Sus scrofa: one gene and its partners. The protein of the gene in region 1 interacts with the protein of each later gene in a pairwise test. Links are inferred from orthologs where the notes say so. Each region holds a gene or a part of one and is shown on either strand. Other genes may lie near its edges. The genes, in order: DACH1, FGF12, RNF14 and C2H1orf35.

Region 1 (3,567 bases):
AACAAAGATGATAACCATGAGAATTATCAAAAGATTTGAATGGATAAATAATGCAAAATTGTTCATGAAAATGGGATGGGGTTTGGGAAGTTCTCAGATTAATATTTTATTATGTTTTGATACAGACAGATTTGGTTAAATAGAAAAGCAATGTCAGGGCTCAGATACAGAAATAAAACTGTGGAAGCACCTATGAAATAAAGCATTTCATCCAACACATGTGACTATTCTTCCTACCGGGCTTTCAACTACAAGCAGAGTTTAATGAACCACAAGCTATAGAAATATTCAAAACCACAAACACAAAAATGTGTCTTTTGAGTATTCAAAATGAAAATTACTTAACCATGCATAAAGATGCCCCCTCTTACCATTTAAGACCCTGAGACTATCTGTTGAAGCTGCCTGTTTTAGTGTTTGTTCAGCTTGCTCACGCCGTTTTGTCTCAAATTCAAGTGCTTCCTGCAATTTTCTCTTTGCCTTCTTCTCCTTCTTTAGCCTTTTTTGAACTATGGCTAGAAAAGAGTGTTTGTACATTATTATTTTTAAAAATTTTTGCAATGTTCAAATTTCTACAAATGATCTATTTTTCTCCCAATAATCTCCCCCCCCTGCCCCGCTGGACTGCACACATATATGCAGAAGTCTAAAAAAATCAAAACGACAAACTCACTTTTGCCTAAAATAAATCTCAGTGAAATGTTCAAGGAGGCCAATGGTTATTTAGCCTTGAACTACTACAAGAATGCCTTTAATTGTCATACATAGAGACACATTTAATGAAAAACTAATTTTAATAAATATTTATATTCACCATTAAAGAAAGCCTGATTAAATTTCTTGGCTTAGTTTCTGCCCTTAAATCAGATTAATGCAAAGCAGTTTTGAATAGTGTAAACTTTTACAAGCATGATTCCTATCTCTTTATGAAGCATCAGTTTTGGGTAATACGTTTCCCCTTTTACAAACATGCTTCACAAAATGCTTTACAAAAATGTGACAACAGCAAATTTTTTAATAATTATTTCTTGAAATTTTAGAAAATGAAATAAATTTAATGCATATGAGGAGCTAAATACTCTTAATTATTGTTAACATATATAAGCAGAATTTTTTGGATAAAGCTATTGTGATTTGCTTAGAGATGTTAATAATTTCTTCATAGCAAATGTATAGGCACTATAACCTATATTAAGAAAGTTATACTTTTACTCTGCAGAAATCTAATGGAGTATAAAACCTCACTCCTACTTATATAAAAAAAGTAGATTATGATACAAAAAGTTAATTGTGATGCAATTTTCTCCTACTGGGAATTTAAATGTTTGTATACAATATGTATCAATAAATAACAACAAATGTCCTTCATGAAATATATGTTAATTGTACTCTCATACATAAAATAATTAATCACTGTTTTAACTTTTACACTATAAAGTAAACAATCAGCATATGGAAAGCATACAAATATTTTCTTTGAGATAATTTCTTTTTGAATAGTTGATAAATATTGTAAGTGTGAATGTAACAGAATCAGTGTGAGAAAAACCTCCTGGTAACATTAGTCAGAAGAAGTAATCATTCCAAATTTACTGCTAAATTTCTTACTACAGATAAAAGAAAAACATTTTTATGTAGCACAGCATTTAGCTAAAATATAAAATCAGGTAATAATGGTTCATGTAAGAATTTTAGTTTCAATTTCTAATTTCCCAAAATCCTGTTTTTATAATTATTAACATTGTTAAGATGGCAAACAATTAACTTGTTGAGTTTACTGTTGCTGGTATTAGATAGTAACAGAAACTATTTTTTTAATCAAAATTTACATTTAGTAGATAAACAAAACCTGGTTTCAAATAAATGCTAATTTTCTTTATTTAAGTGTGAAAATAATATACTTAGCAAAATTACTTGCCTATAATTTCCCTTTCCAAAGACAGTTGCATATCAGTCTTTTTGAAAAGAAACAGTGATTTCTGAATTATTTATTTGGATTGTTCACTCCTACAGCACTAAAAGTTCAATACCCAGGGCCTTGCCATTGACTGCTCATGGTTCCTTCAATGAGATTGAACCAAATGGGATCACCATGTTCTCTCTTCGGGGTAATACACTGCTTCGACAGACACTTTCATAATAGATAATTATTGATTGTTATTACCTATAATTTATTGTTAACAATTAATTAAAATGTGAGGTTCATGATGTGACCTGTAAAATGTATTGCCCTCTACCTCTAGTGACTAAAAGAATAAAAATCCTTCAATAGATGGAAACCAACAAAATTCTGAGAATCTCTTGAGTAACCAAAAGGTTATGTTAGAAATTCAAGTGTCTGCTTTTAAGTTTTATGGAAAAAGGAGTTCCCGTCAAGGCTCAGTGGAAACGAATCTGACTAGTATCCATGAGGATGCAGGTTCAATCCCCAGCCTCACTCAGTGTGTTAAGGATCCGGCATTGCCATGAGCTGTGGTGTAGGTATCAGAGGCAGCTCAGATCTATTGTTGCTATAGATGTGGTGTATGCCAGTAGCTACAGCTACATTTGACCCCTAGCCTCCTGGGAACCTCCATATGCCATGGGTATAGCCCTAAAAAGACAAAATAATAATAATAATAATAATAATAATAATAATAATAATAATAATAATAAGTCTTGTGGGAAAAAAAAGACTTCTCTAGATGAGAATAAAATCAAGACAGGGCTATCTCATGGAAAACAGCACCACAGAATGAACTCTTTGACCATACTCATTATTCCCTTTTTCACTGTCCATCTTGTTTTGATTACTCCAGTACCTAAATCTATGCGAAATCACATAATTTACAAGTGTGCTACATACCTGGAGTGAAAGCTTCCCAAACCAGCCTCTTCCCAGGTACCCACTAGCTTTTGCTTCATAGTAAGTAATGAAAAACCTAACTCCTTCCAGTTTTGAGAGCAAAACAGAAACTTTTTTTTAAATGACCATGTCAAACATATAAAATGAGAAAATGTGGAGTGTTTATATCTCATACTTATTCAATGAGAGAAACAGAGCTCCCCCTTCTAGAATCCTGAGAAGAATCTTTGAGTTGAGACGAAGAGGAAGTTGGTTGTAAAGAAAATACTCTTCAATCTCATACATAAAATAAACATTAAAAATATGAATGACCTTCAAATTTTTCTATACATGCACTGTAAAGTGTGTAAAAAGAAGCAATTCGTAGATTGATAATATCATTATTTTACTCACTAAAAATTCCTATCAGTTTCTACTCTGATGTGTACTTGACCTTGTTGGATGAAAATGAGGCATTCAGAAAGAAAATTATACAAACACTCAACTTTGGTCATTTGTTCAGATATTCATCAGCCTTCCATTTCAGTTGATAAATATCTCACTAAATCTGCTTCGCTTGAATAATCAGTATTTTCTATTTTAGCTTTATGACTTTAACTCAAGTTTTTCAAAGGGCAATTGTGAATGAATACAAAAATTTTCTTCATGGCTGTCATCTTATCAGAGCTCCTTCTTATCTTAAAATTATGAATGCATTAAACACCATAAGCAATAAAAAGTAT
Region 2 (3,567 bases), on another chromosome or scaffold:
GGAAAATTTTGAGTGCAGAATCTTAGCCACTAGGTCCTGGGTTGCCATTTTATTTTCCTCTCCTTGGGTGGATTTATTGGAAGGAAATGGGTAAAGGGCAGGGGGAGAAAGGGAAAGGATGAGAGAGGGATGCAGGGAAGAGTTCTCAGCTATGTTGAATCTTGATTCACAACTTTGCCTCCATTCATGGTTGGTGTTCCAGAACTTTTCCTCGAGCGCCCTTGTTTTTCTCCAATTTCATGTAGTGATGGCTCTCTGTACATACACACTGGAAGGCAAAAAGCACATCAATTACTCCTTACAATAGGAGACATCAATTTGGCCTCAATAAACATGTCAAATTTGGATTTACAATAGTGTTCACTCTCACCACTAGCTCTTCTTCCTACTATAAAAGTGAATTTTACTTACGATATTTAGTGGATGCACATAATTCTCTTCCAATTCTATCAGTCAAAACCATTTAAGTCTTCCTGAATTGCAGCCATATATGTGGTTTCTGTTCCCTTATAGATAAGGCTTAAGTCTTTACTGTCTACTAACCTATATAACAGGATTTTCATCTAGAGTTAGAAAAGACATTGGATGTATAACATTTAAATGCTAGAAAGAGATATTTCATTTTTTAGTCTTTAATCTAGTTTGGGTAGGAAAAAAAATGATCATTTACATGATCTTAATCTTTACCCTACTACAAGGAATATGACATTGTATCAAACTGAAATATTTATTGCCAACTTTCAGGGTATCCTACAAAGGAAATGATAACAGGAGAGAGGGCAGAGAAGGAAAAAAGATGTAATTTCCCCAGTTTCTACAGATTTCCTTTACCTAAGGTAATGAACACAATCCATGACTTCTTAGTTATTCATAATAAGAAATGTGATTATGCAACTGTGAGATTTCAGTTCACATCTATATAAACAGTTCCTTTTATCCTCTATTGTTTTGTCTGGCTCAAAAGCTCAGTCATATGTGAATTATCATGGCTCTTGCTAGATTACTGCATGGGAAGAAGAGTGTTTTTCAATTCATAGTTATTCTTGTAAGATAGAATCTATCAGCATACTAAATACATTAAGGCTGATTCATTTTATTGTTGTAGGACAAATGTGACTGTATATGTATATGAAATATTTACTTAAATATGAGGAGGTGCTTTCATCCTTGACTTAGGAACAAACAGTTATAAATCTCTACCTATTGAACCATCACTACAATGCGTTGGTAATCTGAATGCTATTTCCGATCAAATTGCTTTCTTCCTTGGACTTTGCTCTGGTACTGGAGACCCCAGCATGGCCTTGACTGAATAGATGTTGTATGCTGGTTAAGAGCACAAATCTGGGAGCCACACTGCCTGGGTCCACATCCTTATTCAGCCACTTCCTAACTGTCCAACTGGATACACCTTCATAATTGTAAAACAGCATTTTTATGAGGAGTCAGCGCTTGGCATTCAGTAAACATACCAAGATGTATAAGAAAAATGAAGGGGCTGATTTCTTCATAAGAATTTTAAATACCATCGTGGCTCAGAGGAAGCAAATCTGATTAGCGTCCTCTAGGAAGCAGGTTTGATCCCTGGCCTCGCTCAGTGGGTTAAGGATCCAGGGTTGCCATGAGCTATGGTCTAGGCTGCAGATGCAGCTCGGATCTGGCATTGCTGTGGCTATGATGTAGGCCAGAAGCTGCAGCTCCGATTTGACCCCTCGCCTGGGAATCTCCATATGCTGCAGGTGAGGCCCTAAAAAGACCAAAAAAAGAAAAGAATTTAAATAAAAGATTTCAGAGAACATAATGACACATTGCTTTGGCTGAAGTTATATTCTAAATCCAAAACTAGATTAAGAAAGTTAAGGTATATAAGTAGGCTCCTCAGTCAAGTTCAGTGATGAGGAGACAGATCTCTTCCAACATCTCAGTAGTAGAGCTTCTTAAATGTTAGCATGCAGTTGAATTACCTATGATATTGTTAAAATGCAGATTCTGACTCAGAAGGTCTACAGTGGACTTGAGATTCTGCATTTTTTGCGGGGCCATGCCTGCAGTATGTGGAAGTCCCCTGACCAGAGATCAAAGCCATGTCACAGCTGTAACCAGAACCACAGCAGTGACAACATGGCATCCTTAACCCATGGAACCAGGAAGGAACTCCAGAGATTCTGCAGTTTTAATAAGTGCCCAGGTGATGATGATGCTGGCAAAATCAAACCACACTGTGGCTAGTATAAAATATATATACAAAGCTTATTTATTACAAATATCATGTACAGTTATTATAAATGTATTTTTTTAAATGAGATTTTTAAAATATTTCATTTATTGCACTGAATGGGCCCTTCAATATTACCAAAGGACTAACTGCCTTTAGCTTAACTAGTGAAGTGTACAGAATAAACTAGTTTAGAATGAACTGATCCTATAATTTTCAGATGGTGCCAATAGGTAACTGAAGTTTCTGCCTTTCTTTGACAAAAGACGGAAGACCTATATGTAAGATCCTATTGAAATCTTGAAGTTCCTCAAGTCTAATGCCTCTTACCTATATATCTGTTATGGGAAAAGTTTCAAAATTGCCCAAATTAAATAATATGTTTATATGTGCAAAATATAGCCATTTATTTATAACTGCGTAGTGCACAGGGGAACTCAGAAGTAATGAAGCAATTCAGTTGGAAAGCTATTCACATAATACCATAAAGACGTTTTCCCTACTCTCTCACTTAATCATCTGTGAAAACATATACATCCCCAAACCTGACTACAGACTGTTAATTAGTCTCAAAGAATGAAAAAAAAAACTCTAAAAATAAAAACAATATATTTTGACATGGAAAAATTTTTAAACTTCAACGTAGAGGTACTTGAAGGATATAACCTTTTAATTTCCATCAAAGAATATATTTTATAATTTTGGTATCTAAATTTCGTTGTGTTGAAACTTCTTTTTTTAACTTTCCTTATGTTGTAGATTCTACCCAAGACATTTGTTTTTAACTTTTATCTGCTTTTTTTTTTTTTTGCCATTTCTCACTTACACATACAATATTTAAGTTGTGACAACATAAAAAATGTTGCCATTATAGTTATCACTGCAGATAACTTTTCTAATAACTAACTTAACCCTGCTGGCCATCCTAGAATCAAGTCCACAGAGAATTTTTTTAAATGGCATCTAAAAATTTTCAATGTTCCAAAAAGAAGGAAACTCACTAGTGTCAGAGCAAAGTGTGAGACTTGGTCTTCTTCCAGGACAACTCAATCACTAATTTTCCAATTTTTTCCATTACATGGAATAATAAAATTCCAGGTTTGGAAAAAAAACACACACACACAAAAAAAACTAGTTCATATGCCTTAGCTTGAAAATTAAGAGTAATATAGCCACAAAAAAGAACAAAGTAATGCCATGGATGGAACTAGATATTCTTATACTAAGTGAAGTAAGTCAGAAAGAAAAAGACAAATACCATATCATATCACCTATATCTGGAATCTAATATATGGCACAAAAATCTTACCACAGAAAAGAAACTCATGGACTTGGAGAACAAACTTGTGGTT
Region 3 (3,567 bases), on another chromosome or scaffold:
ATTACAAAAGCAAACCCATTTGTTCTTCATGCACTGAATTCAAGATCACCAAGGTAGCCGTCGCTTAAAGAGGACTTTTTAGGTTTCTAAAAACGGATAGGAGAAATTAGGTTCGGGTCTAACCTGAGTTGGTGACAGCCATTTGCCACTAAGTGTGAATGAAGGTGGGGAGGAGGATGGATAATCTGGTGGCAGCTCAAAGTTCAGCACAAGTGGAGGCAGAAAGCAAATGGTGTGTTCAAAGCCACTATTCTGGAGACACTCATTTGAGTTGCCTGAACCAAAAACAAAGGTTAGAAAGGAGCAGTTGATCAGCACTTGAGTGTCTATGACTGTTGAGCGGCGCTCAGAAACTCTTAACGCTTTAGTTGAGGGAACAAAAACCCTCCCCCAAAGCCCTTTCGGTTTCCTAGTTTTACTTCGTAGCCACCACCTTAAAAAAAAAAAAAAAAAAAAAAAAAACCTTGTAAGCCCTTAAAAAATCTACTACGCATCATGAAATTAAAAATGAAGATACACAGCTTATTCTTGGATACACTTTTGAGCATAACTCCCACCACTAAGGAGCAAGTTATACACAATGTTTCCTGTTGCTGTTGTTTTACAGTAGATGATTAAAGACACAATCTAAAGAAAAGGACGCTTATTCCAATCAAAGAGCCATGACCTACTTAGATCAGCATGTGCCAACTACCCATGAATCATAGGTGGGAGAATCTGTGCCAACACAGTGATGTCAACCTGAGGGCAAGATACAACACACAACGCTCTCGCAGTCCAAGTTTCATCTTAAATGATTACATTTACTCTCTTCACTCAAAGCCTTTACAGTATAAACCGTCTGAGAAAGTTTGCATCCATGTCCTGTGTGAACATTTCTACCCAAAGTACCAATTTTTAATTTTTTTTTCTGAAGCCAAAGACCACAGAGTAGCAGCATATTGTCATATGTGTGTGGTGGCTGAAAAATTGCTGGCAACCAAACATTATTCACCACCACCACAGTACTTTAAATCTTTCCAAGTATTTTCACATCCATTATTTCATTTTCTCTCTTAGTACCCCTATTTAACAGCCAATGACTCATAGCTGATGAAGTGCTAGTGAGCCTATTAGGATGCGAGAAACACGCAGGGTAATATCCCAGTTCAGGGTCATAAAGGCGGAATCAAACTGAAAACTGTTCCCTCCCAGCCCAGTTTTCAATGAAGGCAGCAACAGGCATTAAATCTGCAACCCTACCGTCTACCACTGATGCCTTGAAACACAAGATGATAAATAACTTAGGTACACTAAGAAATTGAGAAGAACCTTTATTTAGAAAAATCCGTTTAAGATAATATGAACTGACCGCTCACAAATATCTTGAAATTTTGGGGCAAGTCCAAATAGATCCTGGTTTCTCCACCTTGGACAGACTCTGCTTTTCGGAATTCATCTCCATCATAAATACTCGCCAGGGCCAGCAACTCATCCTCCTGAGCTTCTCGGTCTTCCGACGACATTTAACTTTCTGAGGAGCGGGAGACAAGCATTCGAGCCGGTTAAGAACAGGAAAGGCGAGGAAGCGTCTGCAAAGGTCTAGGGCACGACCACCGCCCCCCAGCCCGCCCCCGAGAAGGCTCCTCGCCGCCACCGGATGAGGAGCAGCCGATGTTCTCACTCTTCTGTCAAACTAACAATGCCAGGCAGGGCTCATGTTCCAGAAGCTCTGCAACAGCACCAGCCTTTTCCACAAAGGACGGCTGTGGTGCCTCCGACTGCTGACTTTATCAGTTAGGTATGATTCAGGGGAAAAAAGACCATCCGAAAAAAAAATCGTAAAGGACCAATCACACATTACCTTGACTTGTCCACTACACCTAGCCAAGTGCCTTGCTCACCAAAGTAGTCCAAGCATAGGTGATAGGCGTCTTTAAAATAAATCAATGTTTTGGGGAGTTCCCATTGTGGCACAGTGGTTAATGAATCTGACTAGGAACCAGGAGGTTGTGGGTTCGATCCCTGGCCTCGCTCAGTGGGTTAAGGATCCAGCGTTGCTGTGAGCTGGGGTGTAGGTTGCAGATGCGGCTTGGATCCCGCGTTGCTGTGGCTCTGGCGTAGGCTGGCGGCTACAGCTCCGATGAGACCCCTCGCCTGGGAACCTCCCTATGCCACGGGTGCGGCCCTAGAAAAGGCAAAAAGACCAAAAAATAAATAAAAATAAAATGAATCAATTTTTCAAACCCACAGGCATCTCTAGGGCAGGTTCTCTCAACCTCAGTGCCTCTGGCAATGGCAAGGGCAAGGGCAAGGACAAGGGCATTCTCCAGAACAGGGTGTGCGCCGCTGGGGGCGGTTTTCTTCCCTCTCCCAGTGGGAGATTCCTGGCTGCGCCCGGAGATGGTTTTGATTGTCACAACTCTTGTGGGAAAAGGATGCTCTTGGCCTCTAGTAGGCTGTTTTAGGGTTGCTGTTACACACCCTGGAATGCTCAGGACAGCCTCCCACAAGCAAGACCTACTTGTTCCAAACAGGGACAGCCGCCATGTAAGACAGAAAACGAAAGAAGCAGCAAAATAACATTACATTTCTGAAATCACGCCAAATTCTGTCACGTCACTTTTAAGATTTATCATCATTTTAGGTAACATCAACAGTGAAAATATACTACACGTCAAGTGTGAAGCAACGCTTTTTTAATCGCAGCAACGAAAAGATGTGCCACCGTGTCAGGTAATTTAAACGTACGAAAAATATGTAGTGAGACTCTGTGAAAGTTAACAAAACAAACCCCAAATTATCATCGTCAATTAAAACACTCAACGATAATGGCAGGGGCAAATACGCTCCCTCTCGGCTGAAATGTTTTTCTAAACTGAAACGCACAAAGCAAAGTTAGGACATGCTTTTTCACATTATCAAAGATGACACTATAAAATTTAGACGAATTCATTCAAAATGTCCATCTTCAAAAGGTTTATTTTTCCAGCAGATAATGGTTCTGATTAAACCATGTCCTTGTTTAAGACACAGTGACAGGAGTTCCCGTCATGGCTCAGTGGATAACGAATCCGACTAGGAACCATGAGGTTGCGGGTTCGATCCCTGGCCTCGCTCAGTGGATTAAGGATCTGGCATTGCCATGAGCTGTGGTGTAGGTGGCAGATGCCACTTGGATCCTGTGTTGCTGCGGCAGTGGTGTAGGCCATTGGCTACAGCTCTGATTCGATTCCTAGCCTGGGAACCTCCATATGCCATGGGAGCAGCCCAAGAAATGGCAAAAAAAAAAAAAAAAAAAAAAAGACACGGTGACATATTCTGTGTGAGGTCAGTTAGTACCTGTTAATAACAACTAGAAGAAAAGGATATTAGCACTGCAGTCCGTATTTCATTCAGCTCAAGAGTTTGCAACTCATGCAAATTTCATTTGTCCTCCAGATGATGGAGCTGAGACTGCTGGAGCTGGATAAAAGGCCGAGATGTGGAATTCATACTAGAAACACCAGAGAAAGCCTGCCATCTGCAGAAAAAAAATTACAAAAGATGGTGTTAGGACCCTCTCCAAGTTTAAATTCGGAATTTAAA
Region 4 (4,083 bases), on another chromosome or scaffold:
ATTTGGCTGTCAGGCTCTTTCTTATATACCTGAAGTTCAGTCATAGTATATGGTGGGGAAGGTGTTCTGGGCCTGACCCAGTAGGTAGGAGCCAACAGCCTGTGGGAGATGAACCTCCCCCACTCCTGACCCCTTCTGGTCCACTCACCATTCTGTGCGGCTGCACAGGGACATCCTCCCACCCCAATCCATCCCAGCAATGTGTGGCTATGCACTTCCAGGCCCTGCTGACCTCCTCATCTTTGCTCAAGAACGCCCTTAAGCAGTGAGGCAGGTGAGGGAGAGCAAGGTGAAAGACCTCACCCCCCCCCCCCATTATCAGATGAACTCACTGAGCAACCTGCAGGAGGGCCATGTCTTGTGAGAGGACCAGTACTGAAGGGATACAGATAACATGTGTGGCACCGTGTAAATTCCTCAGTACATTCATCTTATGGTTTCAGTTCAGTAGGAGTTGGCCAATGGAGTGGCACTCCTCTCTGCTCATTAGGACCTCTTATGACTGAATCTATTCTGGTCTGCAGTGATGACAAACCGAACACCCTTGCCCAACAACTAGCTTACTATAGATACTGAGCAGCAAAGACCAAAACTGTTGAATGAGGATCGTCTGCCAGTGAACACCTTGAGGGTGACTGAGGCATTTTCTGTGCTCTTTGAGGTATGAGTGCAATGAGGTGTGCTTCCATACTTTTTTGGGAGCCACACAGCTGGTATCCCCAAGGGTGGAGAACAGGCCAGTGCAGGTGCAACCTGACCTTGGTGGCTCCCGGTTTATAAGGTAGGGAAGCTATAGTAGGGAAACAGTTTCAGACATAGTCTCCCCCAGTGCCTACCCCTCTCCCCAGCACAGGGCCAGAAACAGCACACACTAGCAACGATGACTCGGGGGTGTCACCCACACAACGTGACTCGAATTTATTTTTTAGGGCCGGACCCACAGCATACGGAAGTTCCCAGGCTAGGCGTCTAGCAGGAGCTGCAGCTGCCGGGTCTATGCCACAGCCACAGCCTCACCCACACCAGATCCGAGCCGGTTCTGCGAGCAGCTCATGGCCACACCGGATCCTTAACCCACAGATCCGGTCCAAGGATCAAACCCATGGCCTCATGGATACTAGTCCCTTTCATTACCTGTGACCCACGACAGTGGCTTCCAATAATGCGGCGGTATCTGCCGCAGCCTCCGACTTTGGCCAGGGCCACAGCAGTGCGCAGGCGTTAGAGGCAGGCGGGGGCGGTGCAAGCGCGCATGACGTCACTGCGTGCGACGCGGGGTGGAAACGGGGGCCGGTGGGGCCTGGGTAGCGGGAAGCCGGCACCATGTTCGGCTCCAGCCGGGGTGGAGTGCGCGGTGGGCAGGATCAGTTTAGCTGGGAGGATGTGAAGACTGACAAACAGAGGGAGAACTACCTGGGTGAGCGGGGTGCCGGGACCCAGGGTGGCGGCGGGGGTGTCTCTCGGGCTGGAGGTACGCCAACCTGCAGCGCCGTACCGAGGACTCGGCGCTCGGTATCCCGCAGGCAACTCGCTGATGGCCCCGGTGGGCCGCTGGCAGAAGGGCCGTGACCTCACCTGGTACGCCAAGGGCCGGGCGCACGGCGCGGGGTTGAGCCGGGAACAGGAGCTGGAGGCCGTGAGGCAGGCGGAGCAGGAAGCGCTTATGGCAGCGTTGTGAGTGAGCCTCGGGAGCTTGGGGGCGGGGGGGAATTACCTCCTGGTTGGGGGTAGGGCGGAGACCGGGGCTGGGCGGGGGCGGGGGCGCGGGCCGAGGAGAGGCCCGCCACTCTCTGAAGCTCACGCGCGGCCCCCGCAGAGGCTACAAGAACGTAAGGAAGCAGCCCACGGGCCTGAGCAAGGAGGTGAGAGGTGGGCCCTCTTGGAGGACGGGGGCGGGATGGGGCGGGGGGGCAGACCCCACGCTGTGGTGAGCGCTTGCACTCCCCCCCACCCACAGGACTTTGTCGAAGTCTGTAAGCGGGAAGGAAGTGACCCCGAGAAGGGAGTGGACCGGCTCCTGGGCCTGGGCAGCTCCAGGTGCGGGGCTGGGGAGGTGGTCCTCGGGGACCCCAGAAATCGCGAGGGTGCAATTCCCCGGGGTTCGGCGCTGTCAGCCGCCCAGGTGGAAGCCGTTATGGGTCGTCTGAACTCATCACTTCTCTAGGGAGGCCTACGGGTGGGGATGGGGTGGTCCTCGCTGTCGGGAGAGGGTGTCTCACTGTGGGGGGGGGTCCCCACCCGCGTCCCCGCAGTGGCTCTGCAGGGCGAGTGGCGCTGTCACGGGAAGACAAAGAGGCCGCTAAACTGGGGCTTTCGGTGTTCACGGTAATTCCTCCCGACATCCTGGTTATCCCATGTTGGGGTGGGGGTGGGGATGAGTGTCCCTTCCTGTTGAAAGCCGTGGGGCAAATCGTCTCCCCTCGAAGGGACCCTACTGGCTTTCTGGATGGTTCTCAGGCCCGCACACCCCCAGAGTGGCTTTTCTTGGCAGCACCACCGCGTGGAGAGCAGTCGGCCAGGGGTCTCCCTGGCTTCGGCCAAGAGGAAGCCTCGGTCAGAGGAGAAGGTGGAGCCAGGGTAAGGGCTGGATAAGTGGACCCTACCCGTGCTACTAGGACACAGAACTCGGTTCGCTCTGCATGTTGTTTGCTCCACCAGACAGTAAAATTCCTAGCTCCAGCCTTTTTTTGGGGGGGAGCCGCTGGAGGTTGTGAGCCCTGGGGCGGTTCCACTTGCCCCCTGACTCCTCAGTGGGATCAGGGGCCCAAGAGAATGTTCAGACATGAGTCACTTTCCGGGGTCTGGGGCGGGTGGGGTGGTGAACCACTTCCCCTTCCCGTTGCTTTAGCTGCCCAGCGAGGGGTGTGAGTGGCACAGGAGGGGATCACAATTTGGCCCCAAGAGTGCAGGGTGGAGTGGGAGTGGGGAAAATCGCAGTGGGAGGGTTGGAAAGGGGCCATGAGATCGTCAGATTTTCTGCCACGATTGGAATGCAAGTAAGGGTCTGTGCCCCCGACCGTGGTAGTTGCTGGCTACAGGTGGTACTGAGGAGTTGCCCTTAGTGACTTCAGGTTGAAATGGCTACACATGGTTAGTGGCTACTGCAGCAGCCCCATCCCTGGCTAGATTCCAAAGCCCCAGAGGCACTGGCACTTTGTGTCCCCTTGCAGCCCTGAGAGCCACAGGAAGAGCAAGAAAGAGAAGAAAAAGAAGAAAAAACACAAGAAAGAGAAGAGAAAGAAAGAAAAGGAGCATGGGAGGGGGTCACATTCCTCACTGTCCCCTTCTTCCATCCAGTAGGTGCAGCTGCCTGGGGGTAAAGAGGCGGGGAGTACTGGGCAGGCAGGGGCCCTCAAGCCAGGTGTCCCCCGGTCTCCCTAGGCATGATCCCAACTCCTCGCCTTGTTGCAAGAGGAAGCGCCGGCAGGACAGCAACTGAGATCCAGAGATCTGAAGGGCTAGCCTATGGGGATCACCCCAGGCCTCGAAAGAGGCTTAACTGTGGCCTACTACGGCTGCTTTTATTTTTCTTTGTATTGACTCACTCTTTGTACGTAAATAAACTTATTTTAAGTGGAAAGTGTTTCATACTAAAGGGAAGGTTGCTATCATATGTCATAATAGAAAGTGATGTGTGGGAGTTCCCGTCGTGGCGCAGTGGTTAACAAATCCAACTAGGAACCATGAGGTTGCGGGTTCGGTCCCTGCCCTTGCTCAGTGGGTTAACGATCTGGCGTTGCCGTGAGCTGTGGTGTAGGTTGCAGATGCGGTTTGGATCCCGCGTTGCTGTGGCTCTGGCTTAGGCCAGTGGCTACAACTCCGGATTCGACCCCTAGCCTGGGAACCTCCATATGCTGCAGGAGCGGCCCAAAGAGATAGCAAAAAAAAAAAAAGACAAAAAAAAAAAAAAAAAAGTGATGTGTGAAGATGTGATCTCTTGGGTTCTAGCAAGGCTACCTGTGATCCCACTGGGAAGGGCACTGTCCTTTTGGTGGTCAGCATCTCGGAGTCTCATATTGACCAAGAGCCCTGGGTCATGTGTGGCCAGAAGGAGGCCACACGGGTCAAAGGGGCTCAGCTGCA

Evidence for each region.
Region 2: the proteins of DACH1 (region 1) and FGF12 interact in binary tests that used the Homo sapiens proteins (3 or more experiments, as listed by UniProt). The two-hybrid records come from large-scale screens. The link is inferred for Sus scrofa from reciprocal best matches to the Homo sapiens genes DACH1 and FGF12.
Region 3: the proteins of DACH1 (region 1) and RNF14 interact in binary tests that used the Homo sapiens proteins (3 or more experiments, as listed by UniProt). The two-hybrid records come from large-scale screens. The link is inferred for Sus scrofa from reciprocal best matches to the Homo sapiens genes DACH1 and RNF14.
Region 4: the proteins of DACH1 (region 1) and C2H1orf35 interact in binary tests that used the Homo sapiens proteins (3 or more experiments, as listed by UniProt). The two-hybrid records come from large-scale screens. The link is inferred for Sus scrofa from reciprocal best matches to the Homo sapiens genes DACH1 and C1orf35.

What each region holds. Positions count from the first base shown.
Region 1 is NC_010453.5:43,799,750-43,803,316, forward strand, and holds part of DACH1 (dachshund homolog 1), read right to left. Parts: intron 516-3,567; coding exon 372-515; intron 1-371. UniProt on the Homo sapiens protein: Transcription factor that is involved in regulation of organogenesis. Seems to be a regulator of SIX1, SIX6 and probably SIX5.
Region 2 is NC_010455.5:129,241,872-129,245,438, forward strand, and holds part of FGF12 (fibroblast growth factor 12), read right to left. Parts: intron 269-3,567; coding exon 150-268; 3' UTR 1-149. UniProt on the Homo sapiens protein: Involved in nervous system development and function. Involved in the positive regulation of voltage-gated sodium channel activity. Promotes neuronal excitability by elevating the voltage dependence of neuronal sodium channel SCN8A fast inactivation.
Region 3 is NC_010444.4:143,577,870-143,581,436, reverse strand, and holds part of RNF14 (E3 ubiquitin-protein ligase RNF14), read right to left. Parts: intron 3,503-3,567; 5' UTR 3,322-3,502; intron 1,961-3,321; exon of another isoform or gene 1,681-1,960; intron 1,514-1,680; 5' UTR 1,506-1,513; coding exon 1,352-1,505; intron 276-1,351; coding exon 124-275; intron 1-123. UniProt on the Homo sapiens protein: E3 ubiquitin-protein ligase that plays a key role in the RNF14-RNF25 translation quality control pathway, a pathway that takes place when a ribosome has stalled during translation, and which promotes ubiquitination and degradation of translation factors on stalled ribosomes.
Region 4 is NC_010444.4:51,238,515-51,242,597, reverse strand, and holds C2H1orf35 (multiple myeloma tumor-associated protein 2), read left to right. Parts: upstream 1-1,272; 5' UTR 1,273-1,323; coding exon 1,324-1,417; intron 1,418-1,523; coding exon 1,524-1,674; intron 1,675-1,816; coding exon 1,817-1,862; intron 1,863-1,957; coding exon 1,958-2,037; intron 2,038-2,252; coding exon 2,253-2,325; intron 2,326-2,426; coding exon of another isoform or gene 2,427-2,491; coding exon 2,492-2,577; intron 2,578-3,170; coding exon 3,171-3,296; intron 3,297-3,381; coding exon 3,382-3,439; downstream 3,440-4,083.